Linked DNA regions of Lonchura striata. The protein of the gene in region 2 binds, or shares a complex with, the protein of the main gene of each other region. Links are inferred from orthologs where the notes say so. Each region holds a gene or a part of one and is shown on either strand. Other genes may lie near its edges. The genes, in order: GNB5, RGS7 and GPR158.

Region 1 (9,818 bases), on a different chromosome or scaffold from region 2:
TACAGGTACTGGCCACGGGCACTGGTGACTCTGCTGTGCCATCCCTCTGGTGCAGATGGAGGAGAAGGGCCAGGACACAGCTCTGAGTGAGCAGGAAGCTGGACATTTGCTGTAAGAGTGCACTACCCAACCTTTCAACATCAAGGGATGGATGGACATTTTTGGGATGTCCCTACTACAAAAGAGGGAAACAGGGCAGGCAAGCAACCTTCCTGAGCAGCATCCTCTGGTGGAGAAGTCAGTTCTTTCACACCTCATTTAACAACAGTACTTTCAGCTGATGTTCTTTAAAACCCAACAAATTTACATTTCTTTTTGTGCAAACTGACTTTGACATAAAATTCATGCAGCTGACACAACTGAAAGGTGTCTCATATAACCCTGATGCCTCAAACTGGGGTCATCTGTAAATGTGTGGGAGAAAATGTCATCTGAGGAAACCTATTTGCACTGCTCCAGTGTGTTCATCCAGGGTGGAGCTGAGTAGGGCCAGGATTTATCTCAGCACCCAGGGGCAGCTCTTCACACACAGGGAGGTTGAGCCTCACTTCAAGTCCCTCAGCAGAGTAGAGATCCTGAGGCTGGAGACTGGCACCAGAGTTAAAATTTACACTGTCTAGAGGAGAGCTGATAGGATTCCAGCCCTTCCTGTGTTGTGTGGCTGCCCACACCAAAACCTAAGATGATCCAGCTGCTGCTGGTTGTGGGATCAATGCCTGGCTCAAACCTTCTGAAATAAAGGGAGAAGCTCACAGGCTTTAATGAGCTGGAAGAGGAAATTTTGAGCTTTTCACTGCCCTGCTGGAGACGGAGTTCACCCCGTGGCAGGTGGTGCTTTGGAGCTGCCTTGCTACTTCACCCTTCATCACTTTTCTGGGGCTGAAGGAAAGCTCACAGGCTGGGAAGGGCTGTGACAGTGACAGAGCCACATCCTGAACTTACAGATCATTTCTTGGCACAGGCTCAGTGAAGCAATTTCTGCCCAAGGCAGAAACTGATTTCTAGTGGATTGCCTCTTCAAGAGTTGTCTTTCAAAGCCACCAGCCCCACAGGCTGTGCCAGAATAATGCTGTCAGCTGAAATCTCTGCTCAATCAGTCTCCCTGAGCCAGGGGACAAGCACTGTCCACCATTCCTCACCATCTGTCCCTAAGTCAGAAGCAAGTTTCTGAGAAAGTACTACATAAACCCACTGAGGAAAAGATACATTACCCCTCCTACTGCCCAGAGAAACCTGCCAAATGATTCCATCAAAAGAGATGAAAACACAGGACAGGAGGTTATCATGGCAGCTGGAAAGAGAATATCTGAAAAAAACAAACCTTTCACAGACACTGGACAAACTGTTCCCATTATGTCAGTGAAGCTGAGATTCTATGAAATTGTCTGGTCTAGCTTCACTGATTCTCTGAGGATGCTTATCTCCAACCACAGCCACAACAATCCTGCTCCTGCCTAGCACAGGTTTGAAAGTCAGATAGTTATTTTTAACCATTCACCAACATTGTTCAAAGATAGTCAAAAATCAGAAAAATATATTAGCTAAAGCCAGTAAACAGCTTGAGTCCCAATAAAGCTGCCTATTTTTCTTAAAAATATTGTTTGGTCTGGACAGGAGGTGTGGAATTGATGGGTCTTGGGTCTTTGATATTTTCAGTGTTGAGTCTAATGGTCTCTCTGGCCTTAAAAATTCATGGATTGCACAAACAGAACAAACTTTTGTCTACACCTAAAATTTTAAGCTCTTGAATCGACTCCTGAAAATTATAACATTGCAAATCAAATGCATATTTGGCATTTCCATTTTCTAAGCACATTTTTGGGAGCTGCTGTTCAGAACCAATTGAACAAATAAGGGCAATCTATTTCAGCCAGCTATTTCTTTTGGGAACCACAGAGGGAAAGTCATGATCCAAGCAAAAAAATGCACAAGATGCAATTTTAGATTAGGGGAAAAAAGCCCAAACCAATCAAGCAAAAATCAGAAATGATGCCTTATTCTGAAACTTACAAACGCTGCAGAAATACTACTTGGAAATAATTTAAGTGTAAAAAAGCTCTGATACAGAATCAATGATATAAAATATCCTAAGGGAGCATTGTTTTACAGCAGCATAACAATTTTGTCTTAGAAATGCTGTAATGGCTTTGCAAACACAGCTTTCCAATGGAAATTAACAGATTTTATATATGATAAAGAATATCCCATGACTATCAATGGCACACAAAGTTACAGTACCACTGTAATCATAGGTAAAATTTTGTGAGCAAACATAGGTTTAAGAATATTCTTAAGAGGTCTGTTAACCAAAGACCCTGCCACTTCTGATACAGAAATGGTACTATAGGAATATGGTCATTTATGGTAATGTTTCTGTAATGAGGATGTTTCTGTTTAACTATTTTGATTAACAGGACATTAATATAACATAATTGTCTAACTTAGACAAGAAAATGTTCTGTTTATTGCAGAATATATTTATTTTATTGCAATCCTTCCCAACCTGAAAATCAAGTGTTTTTCATTCTTACAAAACACTAAGAACTAAGCCACTGGATAGAAGCTCGGATACCTTTTCAGTGCTTAAAGCATCCAAACACATGAAAGAAAAGTTTTAATGACCCACTAATATTTCTAATAGAGTGAGCTACATGATTTCAGAGAGAAACAGTAACTTACATGTTTTTCTAAAAAAACAAAACCAGAAAAAAAAAAAAACCAAACCCGAACAACCCTGCAATGTATCATTGTAATTATAGAATGAAATCATGAAAATAGACGGATTTTTTGTATCTCAGAACTTGTGAACGCCTATTTGAAAAGCTCCATTAAGGTAAGGTGAGCTTCTTTCCTGAAGGGGGAAGGGGACAGGGGGAGGCCCGGGCTGAGGTCTGTCCATCGCAACTCCGGTGGGTTGTCCCTGGATCCTGAAGCTGCAGCTGATAACGGAGATTTCCACACTGACAGCTCCAGCACTGACTCACCCGCACCTCGCAATCAGCACTGCATCCCTGCACCTTGTGTCCCTGGCAGAAGGGGGGCAGAGGAGCTGGGTTTGGAAACAACGCTCCTTTTAAAGCCCTTCCACACCTCGGGTGAAACCCCGGCCTCAGTAAAGCGAATTCCCATTAACTTCCACCCGGCTGGGGCTCACCCCGGCCGCTGACACTGCCCCCGAGCGCTGCGGGCCAATGCCGGGCGGTACCGAGGGGATTTCAGGCTCCCCGCCCGGCTCCCAGCCCCGCCGGCCCGGGCCGGAGCTCCGTGGGGCCGGGGATGCTGCGGGGCCGTGCCCGGCCCGAGGCCTGCCCCGCACCCGGGAGCCGCGGGCTCGGCGGGGCCCGCCCGGCCCGGGGCACGGCGGGCTCATCCCGGCCCGGGGCAGGCTGGGCTCATCCCGGCCCGGGGCACGGCTGGGCTCATCCCGGCCCGGGGCAGGCTGGGCTCATCCCGGCCCGGGGCACGGCTGGGCTCATCCCGGCCCGGGGCAGGCTGGGCTCCGCCCGGCCCGGGGCAGGCTGGGCTCATCCCGGCCCGGGGCAGGCTGGGCTCATCCCGGCCCGGGGCAGGCTGGGCTCAGCCCGGCCCGGGGCCCGCCCTGTCCGCCGCAGGGCCCGGGGCAGCGCCGCCGCTCCCGGCCCGGCCCCGGCCCGGCCCCGCCGCCCTTGCCCGGCCCCACTCACGCTCCACGTCGTGCAGCTTGGCCCGCTCCTCCTCCAGCTTGCCCTTCAGGCTCTCGGCCTCGCTCTTCAGCGACGCCAGGGTCTCGTTCTCGTGCAGCCCCTCGGTTGCCATCTTTGCAAAGGAAGCGGGGAGAGCGGGGATGAGAGCGGCAGGGAGGAGGAGTTTGCCAGCCCGGCTCTCGGGGATGCTGCGGCGGCTCCTGCTGCCTCAGCAACGGCGCCGGAGCCGGCCCGGGCTCCCCTCCCCTCCCCGCTGACGTCCAGGCCAGTCCTGAGCACGCACACCGTGGGGACCGGCATCCCCGCTGCTGCCGGCTGCAGCATCCCCGGCGCTGCCGGCTGCAGCATCCCCGGTCCTGCCGGCTGCAGCATCCCCGGTCCTGCCGGCTGCAGCATCCCCGGTCCTGCCGGCTGCAGCATCCCCGCTGCTGCCGGCTGCAGCATTCCCGGTCATGCCGGCTGCAGCATCCCCGCTGCTGCCGGCTGCAGCATCCCCGGTCCTGCCGGCTGCAGCATCCCCGGCGCTGCCGGCTGCAGCATCCCCGGTCCTGCCGGCTGCAGCATCCCCGGCGCTGCCGGCTGCAGCATCCCCGGTCCTGCCGGCTGCAGCATCCCCGGCGCTGCCGGCTGCAGCATCCCCGGCGCTGCCGGCTGCAGCATCCCCGGCGCTGCCGGCTGCAGCATCCCCTGATCCAGTATCCCCGTGGTCTCCAGGCCGGCAACTGGGACCAGTCTCACCTCCTGCCTCGTTCCTAAACATATCCCAGACCCTCTTCAAAGCCCAGAGGTTTCATTTCCCCAGAAACACATGTTGTTGGATTTTTCTGCTGCATGCCTAAACTTGTCTGTACAAGTTGCACAATATGGGGAAAAGAAGGGGGGAAAAAAGCCATCGGTCACCCCAATGGCATTTTAAAACATGAGACTGGGAAGACATATCTTGTCCAGAGTTAACAAGTCCCATCTTAGCTCCATCACTCCCTGATACTCCTATGGGTAGGGGGTACTGGGAGAATCAGCAATGCAGGTCTCTGGTCGTGGGCCAGCAGGACAGATGCAGTAGTGAAAACTCTTCTCTCTACTATGCTTTGAATTCCTTATTTTTAAAATCGGTGTTATCAGGGTTCCTTTCCTTTTTGTTTCTTCCCTTTAGACAAGCTACCCCTTGTATATTCTACTCTTAGATGTGCACATTAGGGTCTGTCGTGTTCCCATCTCTTGAAACAGAGCAGTTTCCAAAATCCCAAAGATGTAATAACTAGACCCCCACTTTAGTGTGGTGTGAGCCCAGGGGCTGAGCTGTTTGGGTTCTGCTCATATGAATGTGTGCTGGGCACAGGGAGCAGCTGATGCTTCCAGAGAAAGACCCATGGCACATAGCTTTTTGTTCCCTGGGAGTTCCTTGAAAAATGTTCCCTTTTTATTACAGAATTGTCCTTGATCTACAGGGAGTAACTCTGTGCAAATTAACTGCCATTATCTCCCTTTAGCCAGAAAATAGACAATCCAGTGGCTATTGTTCAACCTGGGGATGTGCCAAGATTGGAGAGGGAGATAAGAAAATGTTTGCAGCTGTTGTTTGGCCTCTGGGCCCATCCTGGACAAAGTGTGGGTCTCAGAGAAAATAGAAGTCCCTTCCCACACTGGGTTTAGAAGCAGCGTTGCTGTCCAGCTGGGATGCACAGGCAGAGCTGCTGAGCTCTTCACCATCACTTTGGAGCTGAACTCAGGCCCCGGTCTGGCCATGTCCACAAGGTCCCTTTTAGTCAATGGCTCTGCAGGCAGAGCCCGAATGCAATCAAGTGTGAATCAAATGCAGTGGCTCTGTTTCCAGTCTTCTCACTGTCCACAGAATCTGGTGAGATCTAACTCAACCAGCCTGATGGCCATGTAGGCAACCCTGAACTCATCGATCCAGTTTGTGTTCAGAATCACAAAAGAAAATGCAGGCAGTATAAGTTCACAAACTGCTGGATAAAGGAACATCCTTCCAAGCCCCCAAGAGTAACCAGCACATCAGAAATACTTCCCATGACAGACTATGCCAAAGAAATAAAAACAATATTTTTTAAGTGATACCAAAAGAACAGAAAAAAAGCCCAAAGATCTTTTAGCAGGAATGTGACAGAAAGCTTCTTCCAATGAATTATCTTCAGGTCTGAAAAATTAAAACTACTTATATTAAACTCAATAATGAAGCTGTGTCTTGGGGGACTAACAGAAGTAGATTCTGAAGAAGAAACTTCATTTTTGAAGGATTCTAGTCTATAACAAATGCCTTATCTCTGTCACCTGATAAGTGCAGAGAGGCCCAGAAGTTAAACCCAACAAAAACAGCATGTAGGAAATTTCTTTGCCTTGATAGGAATGCATCAGCTCTCAGGGATTTGGCATAGATAACACCTATGTGTCAGACAGTTGGCATAGTTCTAAGAGTGAAAAATTCAGTTTCTTGTACTGATGTGAACAGTCTCACTGTCTTGTGGAATGGGATTTAAAAGTCTACAAAGAACAGCACAGAAGGTGAGAGTCTTTGGGAACCCACATGTGCAGGCTGATAGGTGATACTAATCCTGAGATTATGGGGTCAGCAGAGCCAGGAGGTGATAGGGAAGCCTTTCCTGAACACACTGAGCTGTAGAAGTGTGTGATACATAATGTGTATTTCATTGGTTTGGAAAAAAAATTTAAAAGTATTTAATTCATCTGACCAACTCCTGCTTAACTGCCCATGTCATCATTAGCTAACCTTGCAAAAATACAGGCAAGGCCAATTGGGTGCTTTCAATAAAATGAACCAGCGCTGAATTAATTTAGATGATAGAGCAGCACTACATCAACGAGTGCCACACATGGCAAATACACCAGATTGCAGTGATGAGTGATGGGGATCCATGGAAGAAGGTTGGTCCTGCTCTGGTAATAGTAACACTGGGGAAAATAAAGGATCTAGCAGTATAAAACAAATTGTTGCCTACCTCAAAAGTCAGGCCTTTAAAATAAAGTTTCCTTTCTCACTAATTCACCAGCTGATCTCTTTTCAAGTTGTAAGCTAATTTTGTGGTGAAACTAAAGCAGCAAACATTGAGTTTCTAATGATTAGCGCCAAACTCCAAAGCAAGCAAAACCCTAGAGGAAGAAGATTATTTTGTCTATAAGGCAAACAATTGAAGTAAGATGATGTCAACACTGGGAATCAGCAACTTCTAATTCTGTTATCCCTGGACATATGTTGTTTTTGGGGAAATCACCAAGACTGGCTGATGAAAATGCATGTGTACATCTGCTGGACTGAAATTAGGAGTTGCATGGGCACATTAGGGAGCTGCAGGAAGATCAGCCAGTTAGGCACCACAATATGTACATGCATCCACAAACACAACTGTGGCAAAGTATATATTGTGCATTTTGATATAAGCCAAAGCATACACACAGCTCTGAAAAAAACGATTTAAAATCAAGGATGGAATTTCCCCACTGTGTGTATGTGCAAAGAGCTCTCTGTGTTCTGAATATCTGCTTTTAAACCTTTTAGAAACTATGAAGCAAGCTAAAGCCAGATCTACCAGCAAGCCCCAGACCCCTCTGCAGTGCCAACAGGAAGCCTAACAAGCTGTTAGGTACTGATGGAATTCCTCCTGAAGTCTCATTCTGCTTCCACCTGCCAGCTGTTCCAGCTGCTAGAAGTCTGACATCCATACTGCCAATAACAGGGAGAAAGTTGCAGGAACTGTAAATAACAAACAGCCAGTTTCCTGCAATTCCAGCAGGTATTTATCAAGCCTTGCAAAAATTTACTGAATAAATAGCCAAGAAGGCTGTTGGCCAAGAAGGACCTGAACAAAGCAGCAATTTCAGTCAGGAGAAGCAAATAATCTGGGAATGGACTGCCTTTTGTCTTGCAGTCATTACATCTAAACTTCCTTCTAAACAAAGCAATGCATGGGAATGTGCTGTGTCAGGCAGTAAACTGTACACATGTACCACCTACACCTCCAAATCAGTGCTCTCATCTCCCTGTACAGCAGTGCCATGTAAACACAGCTTGATAAGCCTTTCAGCATTTCTGCAGAGATCATTTCATCTGACACTCAAATACAACAAACTGTTGGACTCTACGGTAGAGAACACTTCTGGGGAGGAAACAGTGATGGATGTCATCTCCAACTGATAATGCACAATGGTTAAGGGAGATAAAATAAAACTATTGCAAGCTGGGCAGCAAAATTCTGAAGTTTACAAAAGGGGTTTAGGAGGCCAGCTCTTCCATAGCCACATAGGTTCATGACCTTAGCTGTTTATTTCACCTAAAAAAACCCCACCATGATGTCTCTGGAGCAGAGCTCCCTACCAGGAGAGTGGGATATCACCTCACCACTAATTGCTGAAACTTAGAAAGCCTCCAACAGAAGACATACCACTGCTCTGCAACTTTTCCCCATCTTTCCATTGTAGCAACTTCCAGCTCTCACCCAGGTACTGCAGATAGCCCAGGAGACACCCTGGTCACAGTAGGAAATGAGGGCACAAAGGAGTTGTGACAGCCCTTCACTGGTGTCTGAGACAGACAGGGTGAATGTATCTCCTGTCTAGTGAATGGCTTTGTTGTGATGATTTAATCTTTTTGTTGTTGTTATTGATAAGTCCTTTCAAAGGCAAGTGGGAAACCCAAGATCATAGGCCAAGCAGAGCACACATGTATCTCAGGGAAGAGATGGGCACATAACATTTACACAGCAATGTGGTACCCTGGGGTAAAAAGCTCCTGGCCAATTTCCAATCAAGAATCACAAAACTAATCCTTGAACCCTGGGGCCACCTTGCTTTGTGGAAACACCAGGTGTCTGCAGAGGTGTTTGTTTGGCAGTCTGTGGGCTAGCAATGCTTATTTGCTCTCCAGAAAAATCCAACTTCAGCGAGCGCTGCTGCACTGCCGCGTTTGCGCAGGACGTACCATCTCCACGCAGAGCGAGCAGTAGCTGCGCTGCTCTGATTTCACAGACACGGGCCTGAGCGGCTTCTCTTTGCTGCACTTGTCGCAGGGACCAAACACAATTGCTAAAAAGGTCTGGTCCATCTTGGTGCCTCACGGGAGCTGCAAGAGAAGGAGGAGGAGAGCATTCATTCCAGCCCAGCACAAAGCTTCCCACCGCTGCTGCGCCAGCTAAGGAGCCTAGGCTGTATATAGGCATCTGTAGGCTGCATAATCTCCCTCTGTGACTAATCTCCTGTCACTGTATACGTGACAGTCACATGCTCTGCAGAGTCTTTTTTATGAAGAAAAACATGTAGCAAAACATACACACCATTATAATATGTGCTGTGCATATGGATTCACTACATGTGGGAAAGTATTTTTAATTTGTACTTAGCCACTGCCAGCAGACAATAACCTGAAATCCACAGCAACAGCTGGACTTCTGAGAAACCTGCACCGATCAATACATTTTATTTTTTCACTGCATTATAAAATAGTCATTATTATGCATTATCTTTAAAGCTGAAAATATGACCTAATATTTGGTCAGCAGCAGCTACAAAATATTATGGCCAATATGCTGTTTGGGTCATTACAAATCCACTTTTGTTCTCAAGCCAGGCATCTCTAAGATCAAAGCTCTATCACCAACAGAGTATTAAAAACCACTTCAGAGTCAGACAAACAAATGAGAATAATATTGCAGTGTCATTTTTGTCTGTACATTTTTCATAGGGAAAACGGGACCTTTCACTTCTTCTAAAAATGGAAGTTTTAAACAATATTTAGACTTGCACATAAAAAATGAATTTGTGGTAAACAATCAGAAGTAGTTATTCCAAGAGAGATTTAAATGGAACAAAGGAAATTCAATGACCTATGACATATTAGAATTTATCTTGCTGGACATTATAAAAAAATCAAACCATACTTTACTTTGTGTACTTGTCTCCATTCTGCTGTTTATTCTTATGTATTTTAGTGGTCTATTTGAAAAGTAATACAATAGAAATCTCACTCTTAAGTCTGCCCACTCTTAAGTCAATAAAAGTTTTGCTGTTGTCTCCAGGGGATGCATGACTTCATCCCAAAATATATGGGAAGAAGAAATCAGTCCTGGAAGGAACTGCAGTAATAATTTAAAATTTGCATGGAGA
Region 2 (9,928 bases):
ACCTTTCAAACAAGGATAATCTCATTGCTACAAAATAAAGCTATCAGCTCTCAAATGAAATTAGTTCAGGCAGCAACACAATAGCCATTAAACTTGCAAATCAGAACTCCTAATAGTTGCAGCATATGTTTGACTGAAAAAGTAAGCAAAGTAGAAAGATAAAGAAAGGTTTAGCAAGATCAGCAGTAGGTCTAAAATAGAAGTTCCCATACAGAAAATTATTTATCTTTTAATTGTATGCAGAGTTTTAAAATAAAGAAGAAAAAAAATAAAGAAAAAAAAAAAAACAGGCTGGTCAGACTCTGAAACTTAGAAGAACTTCAACTACACTACTACATGTCAAGTTTCTTCCCTAAGACGTAGCTTGCAGCAGCAAGTTAGTGCTGCCAAAATATGAGATTTCTGCATGAGCAATTTGTGATGTTAAAATACTATGGACTTCAGACTCTTATCTCTTTTAATTGCTGACTGGAATGGACTCTGTCAGAGAAGAAATGAAAGGAGGGGTTTTACATTTTTCATATTTGCCTCAGGCTACCAGAAGAAAAATTCAGGACTTTTTCTAAGGTATGTCAGTGCCAATGATGTGTCACATGTCATTACTTTATAACTAGGCTGATAGACAAAAAGGATAATGTAGCTGACATTCTATTAAAATAAAAATTATTCCCCAAGGCATAAAAACACTGACACAAGCATCTTAAAAGGCATAGTAAAAATTATATAGGGAACTATTTATCTGTGCTGCTATCTTTTCCTGATTCAAATAAGTTATTTTTAGTTATGTGTGTATTGAATATTGAATTATACTATGCTGATTTTTTTAAAAAAATCTTTTTTGAAAAGAAATGAAATTAAATGTAATGAAACCATTGTTCAGCTAGGAATAAAAACTACTATTAGAATAAGACACTATCTACACTCTATATTACTTGAGATTACAATATGATTATCAATTGTTCAACTCTTCAAATAAGCAACTAAACAAGAACCAAATACATTTTAAAAAATAGAAAGCTGGCCATTTTCTTTTGTCAAGAGTTTGAAGCAATTAAGTCTTAAAAACCAAATTTGAAAACACTAGGACTTCATTCTGTATAAAATTTTTTATAAAACGCTCCTGACAGAATCAAGATTTAGGCAATAGAGGGCTGTAACTCCATGTAGTTCAGAATATATTTAGTTCAGATTGTGTCTGGAAGTTAGACAGACTGGAAGAATTACCAGATTACAAAACTGTGGTATATAGCCAAAATAACAGCCTTCACAGCACAGCCAAATTTCAACTCTCCATTAACGTAAGTAAGAGATGTCCCAGTACAGACATCACAAAATGTGTGCTTTTCCATCTGTTGATGTATAAACAACTGGAAGAAAGCATTTCCACCTTTGTGCATTTCAGCAACATTATTCAAAATACCAGACTTCAAATCCAGTTCAGACTGAACTCAGCCAGCAGCATGTTTATATTTTTTTCTAAAAACTGTTAATACATTTCCAGTTGGCCAAAAAATAGAGTCCTTCATGAAACTGTCAGAACTAGTTCTTTGTTCATACAGTGCTTTCATTCCCAACACAGAGACAAGTATTGTGTTTTCAAATGTATTACAAGAAATTCTGTGATTTAGTTGTTCCTGCTAAAGAATTATACTCAGAGATTATAATGATAAAGTGACATGATTTCCACTTGACAAATTTCCTTTTATGTTCCAGATCCAAAATTGAGAACATGCTTGCTTACACCAATATTCTATTTCAAGAAAACGCAGACGACTTCTTGAAAAGTTATCTATTGTTTTGTTGCTTCTTTGTTGAGTACTGCCAAACGAATGGCTACTTAGTTTTCTCTCTGTAATCTAACACAGTGTACATAATCCGAAATTATGTTTAATTCACTCTGCTAGAAAAATAAGTAGGCAAAAAAAAAAAAAAAAGAGCCCAAATAGGGCAGGTAATGCTGTAGAAGGTCAGTATTTTTCAAAGTTTAATACTCAGAGCACAACTTGTGCTCTTAGTGACTTAGTGACAAGGACAATAAGTTGTCCTTTTAGTAACAACTGCTGCACTGAAGGACACAAATTCATATCATCCCTTTACCGATGTATCGCAGAGAACAAAAAGGTGTTTGATGTCTTGGTTTGCTGAGGTGGCATGTCCTATTCCCATTCCTCATTTTCAAATCTCTTGTGCATCACCAGGACTCTTGTTACTTGCCTCAGCTGTTCCATTCAATGTGGATGCTGCTCAGAGGTGAAGTTGCCCAGAGCCATGATAAATTTTGGCATGAAGTCATATTAAACACCAGAGGTCACAAATTTTACCAAACCCACCAAAGGAAGAGAGAAATAGTTTCTCTGTGCTGTCCCTCTGAGTCCTAAATAAGCTGAGAAAAGACCTTTTTGCCAGCATTGAAGTAAATGAAAAATGTGGAAAGAATCTGTTTAGAAAGATCAAAAGTCGATAATGAACAATATAAGAGCTGGTATATTGCTTTTCATATGTGCAGCATATTTTCATGTATGCAGTTGCCTTTTGAAACACACTTGTGTTAATCACAAGGTAATCCTGTCTTTTTCTAGATGTGCATTAGTAGAAGGATAACTACAGTTAGATCCATACATTCATTCAGTTATGTAAAAGGAGCCTAATTTCACAAAATAGCCGATACAACAAACTAAATGAAATCAGCAACATATCTGAAAACAGGAAGAGAAAAAAGCATGCATCAGACTTCAATTTGAGACTATTTTTTACTTTCTGGGAAAAGAACACTTACCACAGTTAGTGTTTATACTTCAGTTCACCTCAAAGACTAAACTGATTATATATCAGATGTTTTCTATTACAGTTAACTTGTAAGAGGAAAAGTCAATGCCTCTAACAAAGTAAAGTATTGATTTTTTTTCACCTGGTAAAAATAACCACAAACAACTTAAGAAGCACTGTGTTCTAAGATTAAACAAGCAGTTGTATAATTACTTATTTCAGTTTGCAACAGGAAAATTATTTTTTCTCCATTATTATTAAAATTTATTTTATTTTTTTTTCATAGATACAATTAAGGCTTTTTTAAAAATATGCAATGCATAAAGGCATTTCAAAATCTCCAAGCATTTACTCTCATTTAAATTAATGCATAATTACTGAATAAGCCTCACTATTAGAGTTCAATACCTGGAAATTTAGTGTATTGATGTTCTAAGAATAACCACACTAGAAGTCTTCCCAGAGAAAAATTCTAAAGTGTATGTTTTTCAGGGCTTTTTGACTTGTGGCAACCACAGATAAGTGAGATCTTTAATCAGTTTTCCCCCTCATATGAAATAATTTAATGGTTCAGACTTCTCTGCACAAGCCAGAAATACTGTATTGTACAGTTAATATTTAGCTTTAATACATATGAAATCATTTTACAAATAAACTTTAAAAGTGAACATTTGACCTCAAAACATGGTCCAGTCTCTGGCATGTCACACCATCAAATATTGTATGTATCAATGCAGAAAGTGACTGAAATACATCAAGTATCTCAAATTGAAAAGCAGCTGCTTCTGAACAAGATGCAAAGTTGACATGTGAAGATTTTACCATTACAAACCATTCAACAGATAAAGTCATTTCTCTATTCAATAAATTGGAGAGAAACAGCAAAAATAATGGCTTCACTTGCTAGGCAAAGAAGTCCAGGGCTTCACCTTCCTCGGCTTTTGAAAAATACAAAGGCTTACCTTTCTGTACACCAGCATGTTTGGGGACTCATCAGCCACCCCATTGCTGCTTTGCCCATAATTATTTCCTTGTGCCATGTCCCACAGATTTGATCCGCTTTTGGATGTTGCACTGTAAAAGGTAAAAGTGATTTCAATAGGGCATCACCTCAGGTCTCCTTACTTCCCCGATGATTAATGGACCTGCCTTGCTACCAACATGTTATCAAAATCAGTGTATGCGCTCACTCCAATAGATATTTACATGGGAGCGAAGCTGCTAATTCGCCATTTACTGTCATTACTCCCTTTTGCTGGTAAATTATGGAGGTAACGTGTTGATCTAATTTAAACGTTAATGAATTGTCACGGGGAACAGCTCCCTGACACACCGCTCACCACCACATCACACAGACGCCTCCTCACAGAGGGCTTCCTCCTCCGCTGCACGGGCTTCACCAAGGGACGCTCTGCACCTCCCAGGCCAGTTTTGGGAGGACTGACTCGGCCCGTGACGTGCATTCAGCAGTGCCCTCCGCTCGCAGCTCGGGTCCTAGCAACTTCCACAACATTCAAACGCACGAAAAGCGAACCAGACGCTTTGAAGCTCCCTGTAATTCTCCAGCACATCTGTGCTCGTACATACGCGGGGGCAGGGGAGCAGGTGACGAGGGAAAAGGAAGAAATAAGCCAGAACACTGTTCCGGTTGCTTTCACCTACTTTCATCGCACTTTACCGCCAAACACCGGCTCCCTGCCAGCCCCGTCTCCTCCCCGCCCTCCCCCGGGTCACACGGGAGCTGCACCAAGCAAGAGCTCGGATCATGCCGTAGCTCCGGCTTTGCACGCAGGTGTAAGAATGTGCTCCATCTACAGACCGCGCCGGCGGATGCGGAGAGCCCGGAGAGCCGCCGAGCCCCACTCCAAGCACTAACCTCCCGAGCCCTCCCCAGCCCCCCAGACGCCTGGCGTTCGGGCTTGGCTGCCCCTCGTCCGCCCGCTGGCCCGCGCTGCCCCCGCAGCGCCCGGGCGAGCGGCTCCGGGCGGCCAAAGGCCGGTCGGACCGGCTCTCCCGCGGGCACCCGGCGCGGCGCCCGCGGCTCCAGCACCGCGGACAGCGGCGGCGCCGCCCGCGGGGCCCGGCGGCAGCGCGGCCTCGGCTCCGGCGCGGGCAGGGGCGCGGAGGGGCGCGGAGCCCGCCCGCTCGGTTACCTCCTGGGCCAAGGTCACTGCGCGCTGGCCGCGGCTCCTCGGCTGCTCCTGCTGCTCCTGGCGCGCCCCGCGCGGTGGGTGTCAGCCGGCAGCGGGCGGAGGGACGCGGCGATCGCTCATCACACACACGCACACACACGCACTGCGGGCGGAGGCGCTGCCGCCGCTGCCGCCGCCGAGGCTGCGGCTCTCCCGTGCTCTGCCGGAGCGGCGGCAGCTCAGCTCCCTCCCCGCAATGGAGCGGCCGTCACGTGGGGGACGGGCACGTCAAAGGTGCTGCCGCTGCCGCCGCTCCGCCACACAGCAGCAGCCTTCCTCCTCCTCCTCCTCCTCCTCCTTCCTTCTCCTCCTCTTCCTCAGTGCTCCAGGCTCCCTCACCGAAAACAGCGGCCAAGAAACTGCAGCTGCCAGCAGATCTGGCAGAAGCCTCTGTAAATGAGATTAGGCATCACCGGTGGGCTGGGCAGGAAGAGAATGTGGGCTAATGGGATAGGGAAGGAAAAGGGTAGTTGTTGGGGAAACTGTGTCATCTCCTTCATATTTCCCTACCGACAGCAGCAGGGAATCTGCCTCTTCCTCTGTCTTATGCTGGACACCTCATGTATATTTTTCAGGGAAAACTAAGGAGAGCCTGTGCTCTGTTGGCACTGCAGACTTCACTGAGCAGTGGAACAGAGAGAGCAGAGAGTGAACCTGTTCCAGGCAGACAGGAAGAAACCCTGAGGACACCTCAAGACACCCTCGGGACTGTTTTGCCATGTCCTAGGCAACTGCCTAATTTGTGAAGGCCTCACATTAGCTTCGGTAGAAGAAAAAGATCAGGTCTCTCAATTTTACTTTCCCAACACATGCAGACAAGAATGCTTTTGCAAGGGGGTTGAAATGCCCAGAACTCAACATCCACAAGAACACAAAGTACTTAAGTGGTTACGCTTTGGTATATTTCGATTTAAAATTGTCTTTTCTGAAAACAGTAGCTCTTATTACAAGAATGATCTTGCAAAAGAATCCTCTACTGTGCACTGCACCTTGTGGAGTGTGTGCTTGTAAATCATGCAATTCAAGCAGAGGTTTCTATGCATACTGGGTCACCTTCACTCTTACTTATTCTACCTTTCTCACATCTCAGAGAGCCTCAAACCGACGCTATCCTGCAAGAAGTTTGTCATTATAATCTGCTGCAACTAATTTTAACTACTCTTCCAAACTTTGCAGATGCCTTTAGATACTTTAGCAGAGGATGTGGTAAGCTAGCTCAGGCATTGATAGGGAGTCACAGTGGCAACAACAAAATGAAGGACAAAGGACAGAACCAATTGGACTTCTTGGAGAACTGAGGAAAAGAAGACATAAGTCTGATAATGGTCCTAGAGTGAACATCAGAGTAAAGACAGATGATCTCCATCACAAATAGGAATGTTTTTAAGAGACAGAAGTTATAAAAGGTGAAATGACACAATAAGAACCATCAACTCTGTTCAGTGAGATACACTGGTTGCAAAGAAAAGCAGACAGACATTGTGTGTCTCAATTTCGATAGAGGAGAATAATTTATCATGTCACAAGGAAAAGAAAATGTGAAAACAAATAGTGCTAGAAAAGAGAGAACTCTGGAGTTTTGAGGTGGAAGAGAACATGGGAAAGAATTCAACAGCACAACATAATGTGAAGTATCAATGTTGAAAGTACTTGGCAGAGGAATTCATTAAACCAAAGATTAAACAGAGAACTAATACCTGTTTCCCAGTAAAATTCACTTTACATACAATAGCATCTCAGTGAGGCTAATAAAGTCAGGATCAAAATATTAATCTTCCAACAGATTCTCTGATTCAGCTCAGCCCACTGTTGGCAAATGGGAACCAGGAATAAAGATCTCAGTCTATTTTCAAACAGACATCCCAGGCAAGCAGCACTGCAGTGTTCAGAGCTCAGTGCTTTGACTTTGTAAGTCTGACAGGTGCACTAGAAGACAAGGGAAATGCCTCCAAGATCTGCTAAAAATGCAAGTGACACCCTTATGGTTGTATGGCATAAAAATAAAATCTTATTTATCAAACTGGTGTTTAAATTTATTTTTCAGAGTAAAAATGGGAACTGCACAAAATATAATTCAAATATAATTTTACCCTTAAAGAGGGATAGGAGGAAAATCTTTAAAAATATTGATAAGACATATTATTTTCATTTGTTCTGCCAGCCACTAAACATAGTAATTGTGTTAAAGAGCATAAAAATCAAACATTAGCAAGTTTCCAATGAGAGCAAATATTTATTTTCTTACTCTGCCTCATTTTGTTGTTAATGTAAGGGACAAAACAATCTACATAAAATGAAACCATTTTGGACTACAATTCCTGGACTACCTGCATGAAGTTACTTAAAAGCTGACTTCAAACTACCTACTTTTCTATAAAGTATTCTGCAAATAGATTTTGGTAGCAGTTCTGTGTCTTTGGAAAGCTCCCCAGCAAAGCTGACTAATTCAGGCAGCAACATTTTCCAAGTTTTTATTTTCTGAGAATGTCCTTAAAACTAAGGGCAGAAGTATACCAAACTGAGTTAGATTTTGGCTGTGCTGCCTCCAATTTTGCCTTTGCTTTTATTTTGTTTTAACAATTCTGATTATTTTACAAGTACAGTAAAATATAATATCCTATATCAATAGGCAATGTTTATATATTTTCTTTGAAAATAATCAAATTTTAATAACATAAATGCAGTTCTAAAGCAGACCAATTACTTGGGCCCATGGAAGTTAATAGGTATTTCTCCAGTAACATCAAAAGGAACTATATTCCATAGTTTTTAATCTTGTCCTCAGAGCCAGAGGAATACCTTAAACATTTCAGTCATGTATCTCACAATTAAAGACCTGCAACACTGAAGCACATTAAATTTTTTTCACCAGCATGTCCACTGCCTAAATGAAGTAGAACTCTAAACCCTAATGGGGTTAAACAGAAAACTAGAAACAAACCAACAGAATTTGCTTTTTGCCATCACTTTGTGGTGATGGTGAAAGAACTGGGCTGGACTACTTTCAAAAATGCAAATAGAAAGAAGATCATTTATTTAAAATATATGTAACCAGATAGTCTCATTCTATTGTACTTGGGTGTGTTTGTTCGATAGGCTATAAAAAGCTTTAATTCATAAATTACACATCTTTCCCATCTTGGAAGTCATCACTTATCTCATATACAACCAGCATTAGCCTCCCCAGAAAGCATGGTCTGCCAGAAGAGGAAAGGCCTTTTCAAAATGCAAGGCAAATCTACTCATTAATAAAACAAAGATGATGAGGAAAGGCTGCCAAGGGGCAGCTTTATCTAACAAGGCAATAAAATACACATGATTGAGCAAGGTGGTGACTACATTTTCTGTGTTTAGCTTTCATTGTCAGTACAACTCAAGTATTCCAATAACATCACACACGTGGCAATTTTAAGTAAAAAATATTACGTCAGGATGTGTACAACAATCTATCTGGATATGACCAGAAATTTTGCTGTCTGTCCGGCTGGCCAATGCTGTAGCATTATGTCAGTATGCCGCCTATATCCATCAATTTATCTTCTCTTATGCCTAGACTAAATGTCCCTTGGAGTAAAGATATGCTGTGCAAGCTCTTAGCACAGCATGATCTTGTTCTATGGCCAAGTTTTTAACACTTCAGAGCATTATAAACAACCACATTCAAATTTACTAAAATAATGTAAACATGCTAACTGAACTCCAAACACTGAGTGAGTTAATACTGTGCTACCTTAAATTATAAAACCCAGATTTTTTTTTTTTATTTCACTAGCCAGCTAAGCACAGAGAGAACCTGCCTACTTTAATCAAATTCATATATTTGTGACCCTACCAAACCACAAGTGTTTCACTGCCAAGCTCTGAGCAGGTACCTAGTGATTCCAGGCCCAGCCTTTGGCCTTTTTGATGAGATCTGAACACCTGCTCCTTCAGGAGTGAATTGCAATCAATCTGTTTAATGTACGTCTTCAAATGTCATCATGATGATTACAGGTCACAGTATGTATTTTCTAGAACTGAACCAGGACTCACAGAAACTTCACCACTTTCTTCATTTTTTTACACCCTAGGAATCTGGTTTGTCACCTACCTTACAACCCTAGTGAAATATTAATTATCTTTGTCAATTTATGACACTGACAAAAAAGAATATTAGTATTCTGTCAGTTAGGGAAGGAGTTAAAAAACACAAAAAGATATTTTTATAACATAAGAGAAGGAGATAACCAAAAAGAAATCTGGATTTAGCAAAAAGAAATCTGATCTGATAGGAAAAAATGAGTCGTGGACAGACATAATTTCACAGGAATGCAAAATTATTAGAAATAAGGAAAAAACATATTTCCATAATCTTTTTTTTTTAAGTATGAGATAGATAGATAGATAGATAGATAGATAGATAGATAGATAGATAGATAGATAGACAGACAGACAGATATACACACACCCCCACAGAGAACACAGTACACTTTGCATATATTTGAAACCTTAAAGCAACAAATTTTATCCCTTACTGTTAATTGTAACAGAAAGTCCACAGCTACATAAAATTTTGTATCAATATAGTGGCCCACCAAAGCTATTCATGGAAAGCCAACAGCTTCTCCCGACAAAGCAGAACAACCCCAAGCAGTTCCACTGCAGCCCTGACAATTTATCCAGTAGTAATTTCACCCAGAAGAGGGCAGGCTTTCTCAGGCAAAGAGAGAGAAGCTAGGATAGCTGGCTGACACACTACTAGGAATTTTTTCCCCTCCTAAAAGAGTTAGCACAACCGGTTATACACCATAATTTCATCAAAAAGTGAGAGTGTTTACAGAAATGAAACACCACACCACGTTCCTTTAAAACTGCCTGGAAGACCTGTGATTAATAAGCTGTGATCTTACATTAAGTTACAAGCTGGAGAAATCAATCAAACATGGAGGGATAGAACAAACCTGCAGGGAAGAAAAAAAAATAAAAATATG
Region 3 (9,194 bases), on a different chromosome or scaffold from region 2:
GTAATCTCTTGGGAAGGGGGGAGGAGAAATTGAAGACACTGAGCTGTCTGCAAGAGCCCCCTCAGGCCAAAAGCACTGTAACTCTTCACAATGCTAAGAAGAAAGCTTGCTGCTTTGTGCTGCACTTTCAGAATGCCATTGACAACAGCACTGCTGTAGCAGCATGCACTGAACACAGCCAGTAGTAGTTACCAGTACTGCCCTCATTAAACTCTTCCCATTGCTACGCCACATGAACAAACCCATCTGTTGCTGTCACAGAAGAGATACCAAGAATGGGCTTTTCCTTCTGTAATGTGAAAGAACTCTCATGAATAGAGCATGTTCCTTAATGAATCTCACCCTAATGTACCATGCATTAAATCTAATGTGAGCAAAGAAAGTACAAAAACTGACAGAATAATAATAAGGAGGCATACACTAAATTAACATTAATGATATCACACCAGACTACTAAATGGGAGGAGCATGGTAACCGATTCATTAAAATGTTTCTAACAGATGGTTCAAAGATACATTTTGGGGAGAAGCAGCATAGCTACTTCAAAAGATGGAGGTTAACAAACTGTTTTTTCATATGGGCCTTAAATAAGAATTTAAATTCAAAATATTGTTTCACTCAAAGACTGATGGTGAGAGGAAGCTCACTTCAAGAGGCATCTTCTAGTAATTCACACACTAATTTTCCAATAACTAGATGTTACACTTTTCAATTCATGTTTCCACATGCTTTAAACCATTTTTTCTCTTAAAAATTCGCATTGAGGCTGTGTACCTATTAAGTATTAAAAACACTGTGTAAATATTGAGACAAACTACAAGTCTTGGAAGCATATTTTGTGCATACCATTTTCTGTGTAGCTGAGAAGCTACTTTCTCAATATCCCAAGTAATAACCTTATATTTAAGCCCATCTTTTATCTAGCATACCTCAAATCAGGAGCACAGGAACTATCGTTGGCAGAATGTGTAAGTATTTATAATTTTATTTCTTCTGTTTATTTAATAGTCTGGCAAAAAACATAATCCGTTTTTTAGAAATGCTTACAAACTTATCTCTGTTGATACAACAAATCTTTGTTGGTTTTGTCCTAATTATTCAGTATAACAGCAATACAACACTTTGAACTTGCACAACATGCTCCATCTCACTATCTTCTAAATAAGAAGTGGTTCTCCAAGCTTAGATGATCTCAGTGAATGCCCCTTGAAGTGTCAGTGTTATAACAAGTTATTCTAGTATTTCTTGAATGGAAGTGACCCCCGCGTGGCAAGCAGAGGCTGGGAAGATGAGGCAGGGAAGGCAGTGCTCTGCACTACATCCAGGAGAACATCTACTGGTTGCCGTGGGTGGCCAGGGTTACGCCAAAACAGACCTGGTGTGTTCTGCACCCCAAAGCTAGCACAGCAGAAACCTACACCACTGAGATGCTTCCTGGCATCACAGAATCCTAGCACAGAGCTGGGATTGGAGCTTTAGACTCTTTTCCTTAAAACGTGTGTTTATTTCCCCTTCAATTAAGTCAAGATTGAAGCTTCTTTGAGTTAAACTTGGTATCAAAATTTATATTCTCAGAGAGATGGTTTATGGCTGCCACCACACCTCCAGCCTAGTGGTTCTGCCAAACTTTATCCCCAACAAGAGAATATTAGCCTACATTAACTTTCATCCACATCCCGAGCTTCATCAAATGTTGAACATTGCATTTCAATGATCTCTGACAAGCTTCCTGACTTCTCTGGACTCCCTAGGGTCCAGAAGAGCTCTACAGTAGACCTATTCCTGGGTTTTAGTCTCGAGAGGAATTCAGCAACAAACAGCCTACAGCTGAGATCATTTTACCTTAACCCTATCATCCCCATAAGTGTGAAAATTTCAGGGCAAAAATTAATTCAACAGAGAAATAAGCAGCCATTATCCATTCAACAAATTTTGAATTTTTTCAAGGATTTATGACTGTACTCATATCTGTTTGATTGCACTGGATTTCAGACTAAGCCAAGAGAAACAGCATTCACAGACACTATTGCCTTGCTACTACCTAGGTGTGGCAAAATCTCTTTGGTGTCTGCTACATTCTTATCAATCTTTACCTACTAATATAATTCATAGCACAAAAGAAGTCTTCTGCTTCTCTCTCATCCTGAGAAATGCCAGCTGCTTCTGGGCAGTGCGCATTCCCCACTGGACAGAGTTACCTGTGAACCCCTTGCAGGAATGCCAGGGGAAAAAGTGGCATCTCACACTTCACAGGTTGCTCTCATTCTTTGAGCAAACCTCTTTGGTGTCAAGATACAAAGACACAAGAAAGGGCCTCTTTCTATCTTCATTTCTGTTAGCTGCAGTGCACTGGCAAAGTATATAAAAGCAAAAAAAGTATATAAAGCAATAAAAATTAAGCAAACCTTTACATATGCCAGGTATCAAATATAAAGCTGGTGGTGCAAAAGGAAAGCTCCCCTACTGCCACTTCAGGTTATAGCCCCATGAACTATGACAGAACGGCAGTCACCAGCACTGATTTACCTACAAGTGTACTACCACTGACCGGGCTCGAGCACCCCACAGTGGATGTGCTCTGGAGACCAGAAGCAGCAGTTTATCAGCACAACAATGTTATTTCCCAGCAGGTTAAAAGCATAGCTGGGGACCAGCTAGGTTCAATTTTGCAGTAGAGTAAAAAATAACAATTCAGAGAGTTGTTTCCTCTTGCTGACACAGATGAACTTCAACTGGCAACTGCTGCTCACCTCTCCCCACAAGCACACCAGGAATGTAACCCACATGCACGGCTGCTCCGATGGGAGCAGGTAAAGCAAACGCTGTGTTACAGACGGAGATGACTGTGATTCTTCTAAGGAGCCACAGCTCCCGAAGGCACGAAGGTACAGCTCAACAGGAAGGCCTGAGGTTGCTCTGCGGTGTGACTGAGCAGCCCATGAGGCAGGGCTTGATCAGGTCACCCAGAGACCAGAATGCCCTTCCCTAGGAGGGGGCAGAACCAAATGTCCATCCTGTTTCCCCCCTCCCTTTCTCAACAGAAAGGAAGCAGAACACTCCTCTTACCTGAACTCGGGCAGGAGGTTTGGCCGCAGCCCATAAAAAGCCGCCGAGAGGGTCACTAGCCAGCCAGGTTTGTAATTCCCATTCTCGCACTCCAGGTATGGCGAGGACCACCTGATGTGGTTCTTATCAGCAGTGAAGCTCTCCCGCCTCTTCCAACTGTTTTCCAAAGTTTTGGGGCCCGTATTTAAGACCTTCCTGTGCAGATGCGGCCTCCACTTGCGCTTCAAGCCGTGGAACCACTCTGTCTCCACAGTAGCGTTGGCCAGGCGGTGAGCCGTGGAGGACAAGTCCTGCAGGAGGACCTGGTTCTCGTGCCTGCTGGCCTGGAGGAAAACCTGGGGAGTGGAGGAGAAAGGCTCCGTGCTGAGAGTGATAGCGGCCCTGGAGATGTTGGGGTCCTCCTCCAGCAGGCTCCTGATCAAGGCGCGGTACCACTCCAGGTCCTCCTGCAAGTTCTGCTCCCGCGACTTATTGCTCTGGAGGATCATGTTGAGTAAGTTGGTGGCGTGGGTGAGGGTGCCCAGGGCACCGTGCAGGGAGGGGTGAGAGGTGAAGCGCGACTTGCCGGCGAGGCTGGCCAGCTCGTACCGCCCGGAGCAGTTGGCTCGCCGCAACTCCCGGGAGTCGCCCGTGTAGAGGAACGAGGCCACGTCCTGGGGCACCTCCTCGGCGAGCCGCTGCGCCAAGATGGTGCTCTCTGTAGAGCGGCTCCGCGGGGCCGGCAGAGGCTCCCGGCTCTTGATGTGGTTGTAAATAGGCTGCTTCCCTCCGAGCGCCCGCTCCCGGCGGCGCACTGCCTGCCCTCGGTCGGCGGCAGCCCCCAGCCCGCGCTGGGCGAGGAGCAAGAGAAGAAGGAGCCGGAGCAAAGCCATGTCCCCCGGTGCTGCCGGTCGCGCCGGCACGGCGAGGCGGCTGAAGACGGGCTGCGCGCAGGCGGCCGCGGCGCAGGGGTGCGAACGCGCAGAGGCGGCCGAGCGGCAGCGGGGCGGAACGCGACCCCCGGCCCGCGAGTCACCTGTGGCGGTGCCGCCCGCAGCCTCCCCAGCGCGGGGCTCCGCACAGCCCCACCGCCGGCGCGGAGCGGCGCGCAGCCCCTCCGGCGACAGCAGAGCCGAGCCCTCCTGCGCCTCCTCCCGCCGCGGCCACCGCGCTCACTGAGCTCCTGCCCGGCGCAGCGCGCAGGGGCGGCGGCGCCCGCGCCCGGCGCAGCGGCGGGTCCCCCCGCGGCGCCCCGCCGCCGCCCGCGCTCCGCCGCTCCGCATCCTTCGGGCGCCGCTGCCGGAGAGGAGGGCCCGTGGCGCGGGACTGCCACTTGCTGCGGGGATCGGCGGGCGGGGCCGCTGCTGGGGAGCAGTCAGCGGACAGGCACCCGCCTCCGCTCGGCTCTGCGAGAGAGAACGCCCGGCCGTGGGAGGACGGATGGTCACCGGGCGGCTCCGCCGCGGGTAACCCCACACCGCGCGGCGCTCCTCGCCACCGGCCCTTATAGGTGTACGCCAGGCAGCGGCCGCCCTATGTGGCCGCCTCGCCTGTCAGTCAGCCGGCAGCCACTCACGGGGCAGGAGGACGGCGCCGTGCGGTGCCGGGGGAGGCGGTGCTGCTGCCGCGGAGCGGCGTCGAGGCACCTGGCTTCACCTGCAGCCGGCTCAGCTGGGGACGGAGGCGGGGCGGGCGCCCGTCCCGGTGGGAGCCGCTCCGCTTTCCCGGGGCTCGGGAGTCGCGGGCGGGAATCCGCGGGGGCTCCGCCGGCCCGGGGGGCTCCCGCGGCGCGTGGCAGCGACACCTGGTGGCGGGCCTGGGGCGGCGCCGCTGCGCCTCCGCGCCGGGGGCGGGCGGCGGGACCGCGGGAGCGGCCGCGGGGCGAGCGCAGGAGCGGGGGGTCAAGATGCCCAAAATCCCCCTCTCCGTGCCTCCTCCGCCGCTCCGGGATCAGGAGAAGCCCGGCGCTGCGGGGGAAGGCAGTTCCAGCCAGATCCGCAGCGTGGGCTGATGCCTGTCAGGGCTGCGTGCCCTGTGGGGAAGGCGCTCCCGCTTCCAGCGTTTCCAGGGTGGGTGGAGGGGGCGCAGGCTGATCCTCGGCTGCCCCCGGGACGCGTGGGGCCTGCCGGGCTGCCCGGGAGGGAGGCGTTTGGCGAAGGGAACGACGTTTGTGTGGGAAAGGGCAAAGGCGCCTTCGGGATCTCCGGGCCCGCCGCCCGCGGGCGCCTCGCCTGCCGCTGCACGGAGAGCATCCCGCCGGAGCGGGCGCTGAGCACCTTCCCTCGCCCTGCAGCTCCGCTGCCTGGCTGGCTGTATTTCTGTAACCGTGGGCTTTTTCTCCCCTTAGTGTTTTAACTCCAAGGTGCTAATTCCTACAGCTGTTTTCAGAACTAAATCCTTAATCCAGTGGCTTTTAACACTGACCTTCAGAGCACCTGTGTGGAGCCGAAGCAGCACAGGCTGATCGCTCAGCTTTCCTCCTGCTCTGTGGAAACCCCCTTGGAATAATACAAATGCTTATCTGGATTTTCCAGATAAGGCATCATGATTACTAATGAGGATCTGGTTTAATAAAACATTTCAACATGTGTTTAACTTTGTGCATTTTCTTATGCAGAATTATGCACATGCTCATTATCTTACTAATGGATGAGGGATTTGTGACAGGAGACAGCAAAGGGTGAGTTTTGGAGGAGGTGGTCCATGGCAAAATCTCCTAACTACATTCCATTCCCATTTAATATAAAATTCCATTTTGGAATTCAAAAGTGCAGATGAAAAGAGTAGTAAAAGACAACCATTTTTTTTTTCTTTTCTCCCCCACACGCATGTGCATGCACATCCTAGGAGCAGATTTCAGTTATGCAGAATATATGATCTAATTTTAAACCACTGACAAGTTATATCTGTTTCTTAAAGCATAATCTTATTTTAGAATTATTTGAAATGACACTTGATGGCATAGTCACTCCAAGATAGCTAGATGTAAATTACATTTGCAGTCCATAGATCCCAGTGATGCTGTGAACTTTGTCTTTACCTATGGAAACCTTTAATAATTATAATATTGTTGGTTAAGAGAGAAATTTAGAAATTCTTTTTGTCTCTTGCTGCATGCAGTTGAAGAGGATATTCAACACGTAAGAACAATGTACTTGTACTGAACTTTCCCTCAAGTGAATAGTTTGTGAGATTTAGAAACTGCTTATGCTGAGAAGCTCAGAAGCTGGTATTTACAGTTTAGCACAGCACAGGGAGTCTGTATTTCCAAGTCTGCTCTGAGCAAATACCTAAAGATGCATCATTTGCTGTGGATAAGGGAGAACTAGGGCTTTTGACAGCAGCAGTTCTCAGGACTGAGCTAAACTAACGTAGGATCTGTTACATGGAGAGATATCACTGGCATAATAAATGACACATTTTTTAATGTTGTGCCTAGGCTAATTCTCTTTATTGACAGACAAGAGCTGCTGTAAAGGAAAGGCTGGTTCCCTGTTGAAAATTCATTTTCCCTACTTTAGCCTGACTATCAATACCTGTTGGAATTGCACTAGGCCTGCTCAATGGCCACATTCTCAGGATAATCCAATGGCCACATTCACACATTCTCAGGATAATCGACTCTCCCCTCCATGCACTTGCATGGTAAGTCCCTTGTGTTTCCTAATCACCTCATGGTCCTTCCACATACCCTTCTACAGTGGCACCCACCAATCCCCCTGCTCCTTGTCCTTCACTAGCTATGCCAGGAGCAAAGTCCCAAAAGGGTTAGTGCACATCTCCCAGATGCTGGAAGTCTCCCTTAATCTCAAGCATTAGAAGCCTCTCTTTTTGCTGTCCTATCAGTCTGCTCTGGGTGTTTGGTCTCTATGCTGGCACTTTTGAGTCAGAGGGAGAGGATGAGGTTTATTGAGGACTTTCTCATTCAAGGTGCCAGGAGCATGGCTGAGTCTTGTACAGTTGTATCACACAGGGTTCAAAGATGCCTCCTTTATCCTTAGGGCTTCCTTCTGCAATCAGTTCAGAGCTGATCCCAAACAGCTACTGTGTACAGCCAGGTCCAAAATGAGACACAAACTGATTTTAAGCCATTGCAAATGTGCATCTTCTTACAGCTTTCTAAACACTATGCCATGGGACCCAGATCCATGGGAATTGGTAATATGGAAATATAGTATCCTCCTAGATTAAGGAAATCTACCAAATATTTTATTTACATAAGTTTACTAAGTGTGGCAGCAACTCTCTCTGACCACAGAGAGCAGGCACAGATTTTCCCAGGCATTTTCCCAGGGAAGGCTGTGAGAAGATCAGAGCAAAAAATGAGAAACCATTCATATCTCACTTACTGCTGCTTGTTGTTGCGCACATGTAGAATATATTTTAGAGATTTGTTTACCAAAAAGTGATTTCTTAATTACTGTTTAGATTAATTGACCAATTAGGTCAAAACTAGATCAGACTGGCTGTAAAAGTTACTGAGTTTCCTAATAAGTATAGTATAATATAGTGTAAAATTATATATTAAAACAACCAGCCTTCTACAATCATGGAGCCAATGTTAATTATTACTCAGCTAGGGGCCTACTGTAACAACTAAGGACTGTAGAAACATGTGATCATTGTATTTTTTATTTTAATATTAAAATGCATTAGTATTTCTGGACTGTTATATGTAATCAGTTGATTATGTCAGAAATCTGTTCAGCTGTGACCAAGACAATGTGAAAATGGACTGGGAGTCCCCTGAGACACAAGATTACTCTGACTAAATAATGTTTCCTATGCTTCTGCCTCAATTCTGTCAGAAGTGCTCCATCAAGCCATCCACTGCAAGGAATGAGGAGGCATCTGACCACTGTCCTGCATATTTCTGTTTTTACAACCCTTGCAATTGCTTCACTCATTGTACATGCAGCATCTCAATTCACTGTATTGCCTATCAGGACTGAAGTCAGCTCTACATTAATCTAATTACAGTGTAGAAAGAACAATAGTGCAAAATATTAGATGTTATTAACAAACTAGAGTAAGTGTAGCTTACTTTCTTCAAATATGGTCTATGCAAAAAGATCATGGTTTATCTGAACTATTTGAAATGCTAAAATCATCACATTTACTGCATTGGGAGCAAGGAAAGACTGTTGTAGCTGTGAAATATATTTAAAGACTCATTTATTAGTCTTTGTCCTAAACTATTTAGGAGATATACAGAGAATACACACAAGAGTAAGTACCAAAACTTTTAAAATTGTGTTGTATTTCTCTCACAAAACAGAGACAACATGTTGATAAAAATTGCTGCTTCTGGTAATTAAAAATACATGAAAAGTAAAGTATTCCTAAAAGTACATCTACTTTTAGCTTGAGTACTTAAACAAATAACATTCTAGCAGCAATATTTTTTGTCTGCCTGCCAGTGACTTCTGATACCTTTAATTAATTTCAGGTAAGTTTCACAGAGATCTACAAGCTTCTACGAATGTCATGAAACTCACAGCTGGATCAAAGAAAGCAACCCATGTTCATTTGCATGAACCAGGTGTGGGGTGAGGGGACCACATAATATACTCCAAGTCTTCTTTACTTTGTTTCTTTGCCTTCTTATCACAGCACAATCACCATAAACTAGTATTTGTCTACAAAAGACCACTTTGCCTTATTCCTTTTTTTCTTTGTCTGGGCTAAGTTAATCAAATTTCATAACAGGCTATGTTTTGCTTTCCAAAATTGTTGTTGGCCCTACTGTTCTCTTCTTAACTATCCATTCTGTTAGCCTGCTTCTCTAGGCATCCCAGACAAGGCCTCCCATTATCAAGCATAACCTCCAGAACAAGTAAAATTCTCTGTTAATATACCCCATGTTGAGGTCTGCCTGCTTTTTCACCTTCATCACAGTATTGACCACTACTCAAGTCTGTAATGATGAGTAATACTCATAACCTTTCAAAACATATTGCTTCCCAGTTACCTATTATCTATTTTTATTTGAGGATTTGAGCTCTGCTAACTCTGGGTAGTTTTTTTTTGTACTTGTTTTTACCAAAGTGATTTTAGGCAACCTCTGATTTTTCCGAATTATATTTAGTTTCTATTCCATTTTTCAAAATGCTTATAACTATCTCATTTTTTTTTTTTAGTCATTTGC

What was found.
Region 1: the proteins of RGS7 (region 2) and GNB5 are in contact, whole or in part, in a cryo-EM structure (PDB 7EWP), measured with the Homo sapiens proteins. The link is inferred for Lonchura striata from reciprocal best matches to the Homo sapiens genes RGS7 and GNB5. Residues at the interface, in NP_001351815.1 of Homo sapiens: Pro19, Leu22, Val23, Lys26, Val30, Ile72, Val76, Glu77, His80, Leu81, Leu84, His88, Val207, Asp213, Ile214, Lys215, Lys216, Leu258, Gln261, Ile262, Trp265, Gln266, Gln268, Leu269, Arg271, His272, Arg273, Leu274, Lys275, Met276; in NP_057278.2 of Homo sapiens: Leu57, Glu60, Ala61, Glu62, Leu64, Lys65, Leu68, Glu71, Lys74, Leu75, His76, Asp77, Val78, Glu79, Leu80, Val83, Leu90, Phe93, Arg98, Arg99, Leu109, Lys117, Arg118, Ser134, Phe135, Trp149, Met151, Leu167, Tyr197, Ser206.
Region 3: the proteins of RGS7 (region 2) and GPR158 are in contact, whole or in part, in a cryo-EM structure (PDB 7SHF), measured with the Homo sapiens proteins. The link is inferred for Lonchura striata from reciprocal best matches to the Homo sapiens genes RGS7 and GPR158. Residues at the interface, in NP_001351815.1 of Homo sapiens: Gln35, Ile43, Ser55, Arg109, Phe110, Thr112, Pro113, Tyr114, Phe115, Lys134, Thr136, Lys140, Ala141, Arg142, Leu143, Leu145, Ala146, Asp147, Ala150, Leu153, Gln157, Trp164, Phe168, Met169, Gln170, Glu172, Ala173, Gln174, Lys176, Val177; in NP_065803.2 of Homo sapiens: Leu507, Lys508, Phe510, Leu511, Arg513, Thr514, Tyr595, Tyr598, Ala599, Thr602, Val603, Pro604, Ile714, Arg715, Leu718, Lys719, Tyr722, Leu725, Glu726, Tyr728, Lys729, Arg730, Met733, Ile734, Thr735, Asn736, Asn737.

What each region holds. Positions count from the first base shown.
Region 1 is NC_134613.1:12,597,646-12,607,463, reverse strand, and holds the start of GNB5 (guanine nucleotide-binding protein subunit beta-5), read right to left. Parts: upstream 3,915-9,818; 5' UTR 3,796-3,914; coding exon 3,684-3,795; intron 1-3,683. UniProt on the Homo sapiens protein: Enhances GTPase-activating protein (GAP) activity of regulator of G protein signaling (RGS) proteins, such as RGS7 and RGS9, hence involved in the termination of the signaling initiated by the G protein coupled receptors (GPCRs) by accelerating the GTP hydrolysis on the G-alpha subunits, thereby promoting their inactivation.
Region 2 is NC_134605.1:47,577,543-47,587,470, forward strand, and holds the start of RGS7 (regulator of G-protein signaling 7), read right to left. Parts: upstream 3,837-9,928; 5' UTR 3,807-3,836; coding exon 3,729-3,806; intron 1-3,728. UniProt on the Homo sapiens protein: GTPase activator component of the RGS7-GNB5 complex that regulates G protein-coupled receptor signaling cascades.
Region 3 is NC_134603.1:139,910,196-139,919,389, reverse strand, and holds the start of GPR158 (metabotropic glycine receptor), read right to left. Parts: upstream 4,032-9,194; 5' UTR 3,940-4,031; coding exon 3,068-3,939; intron 1-3,067. UniProt on the Homo sapiens protein: Metabotropic receptor for glycine that controls synapse formation and function in the brain. Acts as an atypical G-protein coupled receptor that recruits and regulates the RGS7-GNB5 complex instead of activating G proteins.